Linked DNA regions of Lepisosteus oculatus. The protein of the gene in region 3 purifies or fractionates together with the protein of the main gene of each other region. This does not show direct contact. Links are inferred from orthologs where the notes say so. Each region holds a gene or a part of one and is shown on either strand. Other genes may lie near its edges.

Region 1 (3,751 bases), on a different chromosome or scaffold from region 3:
GTGTCCATGGCCATGTCTCAAGATGTGACCCGCGGGCTGGAGCCAGGCGGACTGGACCAGACCGGTTTCCCCTGGCAACTGTGACCTCCTCCTCCTCCTTCTCTCTCTCTCTGGCCTGTCCTTCTGCTGGTCCACCATTCCAGCGAGCTTCACTAGCACAACCGATGGGTTACAGTGCCACCAAACATGACAATTAACACAACAGCTTGGCCATTTCACATATGACACAGGCTCGCTGTGTGTCACACACACACACACCAGGCTGCAGCTCGATTGCATTGGCTCCCCAGCAGGATCGGGAGCTGTTCTGGGTCTGGTAGGTGTGGGAATGCTGGGCTGAGATTAGTCACTGTGGGGAAGGATGTTTGTCTGTCTGATCAGGGCAGCAGAAAGCACGTCTCCGTCTCTGTTCTTCTCCCTCACTTTTTCTGTTCCTCTCCCACAGGGCCAGACGGGGGGGCAGCGGCTATAAATAACTGCGATAAGACAGCAGACGGGCGCTTCCTTAAAAAATAGCTCCCTTTCTGTGCCAGAAAGAGAAAACAATGGTGTGTATCTCGGGGGGCCGCAGACTCTGAGAAAGCATCTCCGAGCTGCAGACCTCCTGGAAACATTTTACACATCGTAATTCCTTCCATCTTCATACCCTTCCCTCGGCAAGGTTACGGTTTTAGCCTGGATTTTTTTTTTTGTAAGATAAAACAAAGAGACTAAACAGTCTAGCTGGGAAAACAAATGCGAAGACAAGAAGCACACCGGTTAGTAGAAATGAGCCTCATGTCCGGTTAGGTGAAACCGGTCCAGTTAGAGGACAGAAAGAGACAGAGCGCCGAGTCCCAGTTATAAGCAAACACCGTTTCATGAGTACAGCTGCGACCTAACGGATAAGGACAGGCGACAGCAGGGCAGGGAGACGAAGACAGACAGGGAAGTGGACACGGAAAAGACACGCGTGGAGCGGCAGGGAGAAGGGAGGGGAGGGAGAGCCCCGTGTGCCCGTCCGTACCGTCGCCTCTCTTGGGTCCTCGCATGCCCAGCTGGGCCGCCCTCTCGGAGGGCTGGCGGCTGAGCGACACCAGCTCCCTCTCGTTAAACCGCATTCCTCCTCCTCCTCCTCCGCCGCCGCGCCGCTACCGCCGGCCTGGCATCGCCCCGGGAAACCGGCGACCGCCGTCCGCTCCGGCTGCCACACGCACGCACACACCCACCCGGATCTCGGCGATCCCTGTCCCACTCGGGACAGCCGGACTCGCGTTACCAGGCGACGGGGTCTTGCGCGTTTCTCTCCGCAGCTTCTCACACCTGCCCACCGCTCCGCCCTGCGAGTCTAGCGGCCTCACAGGCAGACAGACCCCGGGGTCACGGTTTTCCACCGCCGGACCGGACCCTCCCCTGCGACACAGCTGCGCTCCGCACCCGGAAACGGTGGTCAGCGGTGAGGGTTTTCCGCGTTAAATACCAGCCATAGTAAAATACAGACTACGTCTTAATAGTCTCGTCCACTCGTGGCTAATTTTTCGTAGTGGCTGCCGTAGTCTTATTTTTCTCTTTTTTTATTCTTAATAAATGTGTAAACCAATTGCTATTGTATTCACTCCGTCCTTAATTCGCATTAAGAAAAAACTACAAATCCCAGATTGCCAAACGCTTTCTACGGTCGTGTTTGCGTGGCAGGATTTCTGGGACATGTAGTCAATTTTAAATGTCATGTGACAAATGTGATCTTGAACACGTTTTTGGTGCAATTATTTTTAAAACATACACAACTGGACAGTTTCTGAAATGACAGGTTTTGTATTTGAAAAATTGTCCGAATATGCCGCATTAACAAAATTAAATGAAGAGTTATTTTGAATTACTGGTCATGTCACAGCGAAGAGATTGTTAATAAAGTTTGGTTTCCCTGCGCATGTACTGTTTGACCGGAAGTTACAAGCGTGTGTTGTTGGTAAGGTAGTCGTTCGAAATGTTACTTATAATGTCTACAATACTTGTTTTAAAAATGAAATTAATACATTTTTACAACTGTAAATGTATGTGAATAGTTTGGGTGCTTGTACATGCTATTTAAGGTTTGCTAAGTTTGGTAGCTTTTAAGATAAATTTGTTTCTAGATTCGGGACACCTCGTTGTTACTTTTTAAAAATAACATTTCACTGTGAGATTTGTAATTATCTAATAAGGGAGTGTTCTTACAATGTAACCTTTGTTTTAGGAATTATAAAATTACTTCATTTTAACAAATAAGATATTAACAAATCCTCTCTGTAATCAATATTAGCGCCCTTCGATCTTCACGTAACTATTTGTGACCTTTCCGGTTTAAAAATTATTCAGTGACCGAAACGTCTGCGTGTAATGTTTTAGATTAAGTGTGAGAAAGGCATCGACTTTAAACTGTTTGTCCACGGTTTTTAATTAATTACGGTACGTTACAGATGTATTAAGTTGCGTTATCCATTAATTACTCGTTAATCACTACTTGTTGGTGTTCTGGCGGGGCTGTGCAGCTCCTTCTCAAACCCCCGATAGTTCACCATTAAATCGCGGGTTTCTGAAGCTTATGAAGTTTCTTAGTGATAAGATAAGCATCTGCTGGTTCTCTGGTTCCAACGATCCTCTGTTTTGAAGTTCAGAGCCCTGAACGTTAACCGCGGATTAAAACGCTGCTGTAAATGTGGATTAAACTTTAATTCAATGTATTTATAGGCCCGATCGTCAAGTCATCGTCTGTCGTCCTCCAGTCCTGCGCCAGTGGCCAGTGGAGAGCTGTGGAAAGCGAGCAGAGGAACTGCCCCCAGCTCTGCCGGAGGTCCCTGTTGTGGGGAAAGTTTTCCCACAGCCGTGTTTATTGTGAGTTCACCTTGTCCGTTTTTCAGGAGGTGTCTTTTTTTTTTTCAGCAGCCATATCACCCTGCGGCTCCCAGCTGGCAGCCCCACTGGAGCCCAGCAGGTGTGAGCCTGGCCAGTACCTGGAGGGGAGACTCCTGGGAAAGCTGAGGCTGCTGCTGGAAGAGGTGTTAGTGGGACAAGTAGGCCCTAATGCATCCCTCAGATGAGAAGTAAAACCGAGGTTCCGACTGTGGTCATTAAAAATCCCATCACATTTTTCAAAAAGAAAAATGTTACCCCAGTGTCCCGGCTAAATTCCCCCCTGGCCTTTACCCATCATGGCCTCCTGATAATCCCCCTCTCTGAACTGGCTTCATCACTCTGCTCTCCTCCCCACTGAGAGCTGGTGTGTGGGGAGCGGACTGGCGCATCACCCAGGTGGGGGTACACACTGGTGGTGGTGGAGGGGATCCCCATGACCTGTAAAGCGCTTTGAGTGGAGTGTCCAGAAAAGCGCTATAGAAGTGCAATGAGTGATTATTATTTTTCCTGAGTGGGGCGCCGCGGGGTCCCATCTGTGTGGTGGGTTGTTGTTGTTGTTGTTGTTGTTGGTGGTGCTGGACTGGTGGAGCAGTGAGAGTCTGACCAGTGTCTCCCCCCACCCCACCCCCCCAGGGCCCGGTGTTTTACCCGCGGCCGAGCGAGAGAGAGCGTGTCCCTGAGCCCGCGCGCCCGCCAGGATGGATTTCCAGCACCGGCCGGGGGGGAAGACGGGGAGCGGGGGGGTCGCCTCGGCGTCGGAGAGCAACCGGGACCGGCGCGAGCGCCTGCGGCAGCTGGCCCTGGAGACCATCGACATCAACAAGGACCCCTACTTCATGAAGAACCACCTGGGCTCCTACGAGTGCAAACTGTGCCT
Region 2 (3,751 bases), on a different chromosome or scaffold from region 3:
TGAATAACCAGATGATCATAATTATTTAAAAAAACTGTAATGCAGTTTCAAACATTCAGTCATCTGGAGGCAGCCAGATGCTACCTCTAAAAACCTTTTCCATCATGAAGAAATGTCTGTATAAATGACTAATTTAGACAGTATTATTTTACATGGCACAAAGTGTGAATATTTACTGTGTAAAAGGTCAGTGGTGTTTCGCACTCAAACTGTTCACACCCTGTGTTAACTGGAAATCTTCACCGCCAGTTAGAATAAATGACTTTTCAATAAACAGAGAAGAGAAACCACTGTCAAGTTTAACAATATTACATTTCACCATCTCACACTGGGAGAGGGAGAAAGACTTGAGGGGGAGCGTTTCGAACTGGACTGTAAGGGAAGGAGGGTAAAGTTCCTGTACTGTGTTCCTAGCAGAGCATCAGTGTGCACTGTCACCTTTCAGGAACAAGTGCTCTGTCTGTAAGAGGCGTCTGCCCCAAGGATCAAGTTATCAGGCAGTGAAGAAGCTCTTCAAGCCCTGAACTTCGGAAGGCCCAAGAAACAACACAATAGGGAGCCACTGACATCTTACGTGATCCTGTATGAACACAAGAGAGCACCAGCAAGTCCAACACTCTATGAATACTTTCAGGGACATGCTTAAAAGCTTAAAGCAGGAAATAGTAGCTTAATATGCTGAACTTCAATCCCATTATTTGAATAACCTTGCAAATAAACCAAACACCTACTCATACTACCCCCACCCCCCAAAAAATGGCTTTTTGTTAGTGTACAGTACGATCATTTCAGCTTTTCACACCTTGGCCTTTGTGTGGACACTCTCTCATTCCCACCTACTCAGTCCTCTGTTCTCCTGTGCCTTATATTCCAGTTAACTTCCTCTCTCACAACTGAAAATGGCTCAACAGCCAAAACATTGGTTCTTATTTCTACTTTTCAGCATGGAATAAACCGTTACTTGCTCCTTTTTTTTAGCCAAGACATGCACACTTAAACCAGCATGCTTCTCATCGAGCTAGGCCTGTCCTGCAACCCTCAGTAACTGAGCCCAATCTGGAAAAGGCTCAACTGGGCAAAACACACAAACAAACCTCCTTTTAAGTGGCAGCCCCACTAGTTCCAAAGACCATTCCAAGAGGGCTTAAATGTTTAATGTGGCAAGTTTGCAAATGCTAAAATCCAATGTTAAAAACCGAGCTAGAAAGGCGACACTAACTGGAGGAATATTTCAAAACATGTTCCAATACATAATGTTAAAAGCTTAAATGCTAAAAAGAATACATGCAAACAAAAACGTTAAAATGGATGGCAACACTATCGATATATAATTAAAATATGTGTACAACTATACACGGTATTGCTGTTTGGTCAGCACCTACGCATTAACCCATTTAAGGTAAGCACCGTACAGTGTCTTAACAGTTTCATATTCTTAAGTACAATTTAACAGACTGCGAGTGGCTTTAGAGAATGCTGCTCAGGGAAAATCTGTGCAAAACTCTGTTTAGGGACAATTTTCCAAGAGGCACTGAAAAACTAATTCTAAGCTCTCCATGCGCAAATTTCTAGGATAACCATTTGAATGTAGCGAGTTAAACCACGGTGTGTTTTTTACATTAAGCGAAATCCACTATATATATCTTAAATGATTATTAGCCCATATTGCGTAAATGGAAAACTTACTTAAATACGCACGATTTGGGGAGGGGGGTTATTATCTCAATTACCTTTATAGAGTTTATGTATTTGTTGATCCTTGAGCACATTAAGCCACATGGAGAGAATTCTGCATTACGTGAACTGTAAAGTAGAAATTTTGTGAGGTTTAGCTGAGGTTTGTGTACACGAACTACACAAACCTCACTGTGTACGTTAAATAAAGCCGTCGACAGTACAGAGACGTGTTAGGCTTTGTGTTCGTAAAGCTTTTAGAAACTGCCCTACATTTTCATAGACGAAGTTACAATTAACGTTTTATGTTCCTAGTTTCAGTGCATTTGTGGAAACAATCCAAACCCCCCGTTGTACTCGGCAAACGAACCCACTCGTCCGCCATTGATGTTTTCATTCATCTGTTCAAAGCTCTGCTTTCAAGCAACACCCCCCCCGCTCCAAAATCAAGCACAATCCCAACACCGCGACAGGAAATATCACTTCGAGATGCATTGCTTTCGACTAAATAATTTATAAAAACAAGATTCAGTGTCCTAAAACCGCTATAACATCGAGGATTGCATTAGATGGTTTCTAAAAAAAAAAACACACACAAACTTACATCTCCGCTCAGAAAGTCTCCCTCCGCGGCGGGCGCAGATTGATGACGCAGAAGCGGCCAAACTCGTCAGACTGTATCGCCGTGGTCTGTGCCGAGAACGTAACTGAATTTCCTCCTCAAACACAGTAACACAGGCAGCCCAAGGAGGTGTTAATAAGCGGCTGGGCACAGGGGGAGTAAATTGTAGGAGCTGTTATTTGTTTGGAGAAAAAGATGGCATGTTAAGTTTCAGCCCCATCCAAAACAATTCTAAAATACCGTTTGTAATAAATTTAATTATAATGGCACGTTATATACACAAAATGAAGTGGTCTGGGAAGAATCATATGTTTAAAGCATTTTAAAATGGATGTAAAGGAATATCTACAGACTATTTAAAAATGTAAAAATATGAAAGCAGTGGGGACGTTATCTTTGTTTAAACTTTTTTTCATAATTTGAATTTATTTTGTAATATATACCCCCTGACGATGTTTTTTTTGTCTTGAAATGTTATATGCACTCTTGCTTGTATTTGTATTTTTGTTATAGTTTATGCATAAATAAATAAAAATTATTTAAAAAACTTATAAACGTCCTGTATTACAAGACCATTGTACTGTTTTATGCAAAGTAAATTCGGAAACGTTAAAAAACCTGGAAATTGTTTTTTAAGGGGTACTATGTACTAAGTTGAACAACATTTGAAACTTTTGTTTCATTCATTGCAGACCCAGGGAATATTTGAAAATGTTTATTTTCACCTAAAATAATTGAACATATATACATTATATGTTTAAAAAACGTCATGCTTCAAGTGCAGACAAAAGCTAACAGTAAATTGTTTTCTTTGGTCAGTTAACTACGACACTGGGGTAAAAACGCAATCAGATTTACCCCTTCTAAACATTTCATAGATTGTAAATGACGCGCTTTTCAATTGTCTTAGCAGTCAAACCGAAACCGACGAGTTTGCACAACATCCACAGCAATCGGAATAAGTACCATTCAATACACATACGAAACACTTTTATACATATCTACATGCCTATAGACAACGATGTCTGTTAAAGGTGGATTCTGTTGTCAAACATTATACTTATTATAAGAGCTCTGCTCTAACTCGTTTGTGGTTATTATAATGCTAAGAGAATTTATGAAGACGTAAAAATGATTCAGAGATTAGAAGGTTGCCTTCTATTCAATTTAAACAAAATGTCTTTCTGTAATCCTATCTGTTCGAAACTTTCAAGAACTTCGACCATCTCCAGTACATGAAGATTGTCATCTAGCTTTGTCACTGGTTACCTAGAAAATGATATGATTGGCTGCTCAGATCCTTGTCTGACCAATTAGAATTGAATAGACGCCTCCTCTTTTTGACCAATAGAAACAGCTCTTTAGTATATAGATAGATAATACTTTATTTATCCCATAGAGAAACGGAGATAAACAACTGATCAATAGGAAACACAGGTACTCATATCCCCCCAC
Region 3 (3,751 bases):
GGGGAACATCATCTGGGGGTCCCTGGAACACCACACAGAAACGCCGAGGGATAAAAATGACCGGAGAGTGCAGTCTGGCTGACATGTTGCTGCTCCAGATCTGCAGTGTGAAAACAAGCTCTTTACTTGAGCATGGTAAAGAGTAGTTTGGGTACAGAAGCTTCATCTGCTCCGAAGGTTCACGTTTAAAGCAAAACTTGGTGAAAAATAATGCATTTAGGAAATAAAATGAACACCTGCTCTTTAGAACACTGAGCTGTCAACGTTCAGAACAAAAGATGATCTTAAAACAAAAGAGATTCTCCACTTACATCTATTTCTCCCTCATCGATCTCTCCATCGTCGTCATCTTTCTTTTTATCTCGTAAGGAATCTCTCCGACCCCTCTCAGGAGCCTTGGGCTCCTCTGCCCTTTTGGGCTCAGTGACCTTTTCTGGCTGCTGGGAGTCCTTCCTCTTTTCCTTCTTTTCCTCATCCTCAGGGTCTGCCTCTTCCTCCTCTCCTTCTTCCCCAGGCACCCTGTCCCCGTCCTCATCCTCGGGGGCGGCGCCGCTCGGCTCGTCGGGCACTTCCTCGTCGTAGTCCAGCTCGTGCTCGTCCAGCTCCCGCGTCACTGACGAGGACTCGTCCTTGAGGTCGCTTACCCGGCTGTCCGCAGCTGCTGCCTTCACCCCCTCGTCGTCCTCCTCCTCTTCCTCCTCCGCTAGCGGGGAAGACAAAAGCTTCTCCCGGCCCAGATCAGGCTCCGAGTCGGGGGACTTCGCCTCTTGGCTGACTCGATCCTCCTCCTCTTCATCGTCCGAGCAATTCACCCCTCGCCCCCTCGTCAATGCTGCACCTGACGGGACCTCGTGGCACAGCTCCCCTCCATACCCATCCTCCTCCTCCTCCTCCTGGTCCGACACTCTCTCCCCACCCTCGTCCTCTAGATCCTCCAGGTCCGACTCCGCCCCACCCTCCTGACTGTCCTCTTTCAGCATCTCGCTGTCCGAGGTCTCTTTCTCTTCCAGGGACTGTCTGTCATGACTGGGGCTTTCAGTTGCATCCATTGGAGGCTGCTCTACAGAGAAGACACGAGCAGAATAAAGACCCTATAAGTCACACTGTAAACACACAGATCAGAAGGAAAGCAAATTAATTTGAACACTGATTTTAAAGCCTAGCCTTTGACTGAGGATTAGTTCTCCACAGATCAGATATACTTTCTAGCCCCCTGTCAGATATATCAGAAAATTAAATCCGGTTACCAAATTTTTGACATTTGTCACTAGTATACTATTTAATGCAGCATCTAATTTTACTACTCCAGGATCAGACTCAAGTAGTATAGAGCCTGGTAAGAGGTGGGAGTTGGTTAATTTCTTTTAAAGAATGAAGTGAATTTATTTGCTCTTTTAATAGTCTTTACTTGGGATTCAAAAACACTTTCAGGAAGGTGTCAACTTTTCTTATTATTTATCACATTATGTCTTCCTCTGTAGCCCTGCCCATTGAGGAAAGTGAGCTTAACAACAAAGCTTAAAAGTAAATTATTATATATATATATGACCAATAGAGAATAGCTGTTTAGTTTCTAAATTGTTAATCTATTATTTTTTCATTTAGATTACTGTGAAAAACTTAAAAAAACGCACATATAAAAAGAGAATAGGATGTTGTCTAAAAAATTGCTACCCTACTGCATTCCCATTTGTTGAGATTTGCAGAATAATGCTAATAGCTCATTTTATTAGTACAAGAACGAGACATTCTAGTGTCTAGCCACGATCTACAAGTAATCTAGCAAGCGAAAACTACGTGACCTGTGTAAAAAATACGATCGTCCGTTGAGTAGGACTAAAACGAAAAGTACAATTTTATGTACAATTTAGAATTTGCACATAAATCCAAACAAAACACCTCGATAAAGAACTAAAACAAATTGGCCTGCATAAATAGGTTTAGGTGATAAATACTCTAGTCTATAACCTGATAGCAAGGGTTTCGTTTTCCTTAAATTGTCTTTCTATACAGTGCAGGATCAGGTATCATTGTCTCGTTTAAAACCATCAAATCGCACTCCTATGAATTTACCCCCCTGCCTACAACTTCACTCGCTGGGCTATTATGCCACCAAATAAATTAGTGAATCAATGAAGAATATAGCGGCTTGGAAGACAGCAGGCCCCACGACTGCCTTCAGTGAACCAGGCAGAACACCGTCTCTGCAGATGCATCATGAGAGCGCCTAAAATCCCTATAAAACAGATTTAACTTACCTTTCCGGGACAACAACTACTTTCCCCCCTTAAAATACCTTCTTGGTTTTAGCCCCCTTCCTAATCTGCTAAGCAGCCATGCTTCCCTGTTCATCAACAATACAGACCTCCCCCCTTCAAAAAAATAATCACAAAAAAATAGCAGATATCTGACTGTTACCGTTGCCAACCTGTACGTCTTTTGAGACAGGAGTGTGATCGTAACTACTACCCCGTCTCTCCCCGTCCAAGTGTAAAGCTGTACACAGTAATAAATATTCGGATTGCTTTTTCTTCTATCGGAGAGATTCATAAACCCTGCTCTACACAGTGAGAGCGGCCATTGCCGTTACGTCATCAAGGCAAGACGGCGTCAGACGGCGCAGAGGACTAGGACGTTAAGGGTGCCAGGCGGTACTTTGTTATTCGCCGAAGATCAAATCTGGATATGCTTTATATGATTGCCAGTATTACAATGGCTTTTGTTTAGTTTTTATTCTTAACTAACGTTATCGCCAAAATTAGGGCAGCCAGCAATCATAATCAAAATAACTTGTTCACATAATAAACTAACAGGAGAAGCGTCGGTGATGTTAATTTTCAAACAAAATGTGTAAAATAGCTACATTGCTTAGAACGTGAGTGTCGTGAAAATGACCTTTTAACGTCTAACCACAGATGTTGCTTTTGTACAACCTCATTGGCCTTTTGGATTGGAAGTTTTCAAACGTTTCACTATGTGCACTCGACTTTCTGCTCAGAAAGAGACGTTATCTTCTATTACAGAGCTGTCTCAGATCTTTCCACGACTAACTTTTAAAACTAACCTTTGCTTCCAATTTTTGAAATATCAAAAAGCAGCTGGTGTCACTCTGAAGGCGGCATATCTGTTTCAGAGTTGGACAGGCTCTTTGACTTTCCACCGGAAAATGCATCCCATTTCTATGTGCCTTCAATTCAACCGCCCATACTATCGACTGCAGGAGTTTGGAGATTATGTGATACCAACATCTACCACTAGATGGAGATCAAACCTCATTTACAAATTTCCGTGCAGTCCCGCTGAAAACGGGCGGAATTTGAGGTATCCCAGGTGAACGACACTTGAAGTATTCGGTATACAGTATGTTTCTTGTCGAAACCCTTTTTTTTTTGGACATTTTACAACATTTTTTAACAACGATAACAATTCTTCAAATGTATTTTTTCACCCAAGAACTTGAAATATGTATTTGATTTGAGATTTAATTAAACTTTTAACTAGAAACTTAAAACACAATTTGACACTTTCGTCCAACGTGACTTATATTTGTACTAATTTATTCAGTGGGCCATTTCAGACTGAACTAGGCCTGAGAGCCTAAGCTTATACAACAGCAGTGCGCTAACAGCTGACCTCTTAACCTTCAAATTGGGAATTCATAACCTCTACTCTGATAACTTTCTTTAGGTGAACTCATGAGAAAAATAAAAATAGATCCTATTTTATCTTCTGAGTTTGTTGAGATTCTGTC

Evidence for each region.
Region 1: the proteins of zc3h18 (region 3) and sf3a2 purify together in Homo sapiens (affinity purification with mass spectrometry; 3 studies listed by BioGRID and IntAct, with this or other methods). This does not show direct contact. The link is inferred for Lepisosteus oculatus from reciprocal best matches to the Homo sapiens genes ZC3H18 and SF3A2.
Region 2: the proteins of zc3h18 (region 3) and RNA-binding protein with serine-rich domain 1 purify together in Homo sapiens (affinity purification with mass spectrometry; 3 studies listed by BioGRID and IntAct, with this or other methods). This does not show direct contact. The link is inferred for Lepisosteus oculatus from reciprocal best matches to the Homo sapiens genes ZC3H18 and RNPS1.

Annotation. Positions count from the first base shown.
Region 1 is NC_090724.1:8,584,886-8,588,636, forward strand, and holds the start of sf3a2 (splicing factor 3A subunit 2), read left to right. Parts: upstream 1-1,345; 5' UTR 1,346-1,435; intron 1,436-1,870; exon of another isoform or gene 1,871-1,948; intron 1,949-2,709; 5' UTR 2,710-2,853; intron 2,854-3,507; 5' UTR 3,508-3,572; coding exon 3,573-3,751. Other genes in the region: plekhj1 (pleckstrin homology domain-containing family J member 1), read right to left, coding at 1,007-1,100. UniProt on the Homo sapiens protein: Component of the 17S U2 SnRNP complex of the spliceosome, a large ribonucleoprotein complex that removes introns from transcribed pre-mRNAs.
Region 2 is NC_090714.1:5,335,169-5,338,919, reverse strand, and holds the start of RNA-binding protein with serine-rich domain 1, read right to left. Parts: upstream 2,389-3,751; 5' UTR 2,281-2,388; coding exon 2,279-2,280; intron 1-2,278. UniProt on the Homo sapiens protein: Part of pre- and post-splicing multiprotein mRNP complexes. Auxiliary component of the splicing-dependent multiprotein exon junction complex (EJC) deposited at splice junction on mRNAs.
Region 3 is NC_090715.1:14,060,583-14,064,333, reverse strand, and holds the start of zc3h18 (zinc finger CCCH domain-containing protein 18), read right to left. Parts: upstream 2,610-3,751; 5' UTR 2,551-2,609; coding exon 2,419-2,550; intron 1,061-2,418; exon of another isoform or gene 1,056-1,060; coding exon 312-1,055; intron 1-311.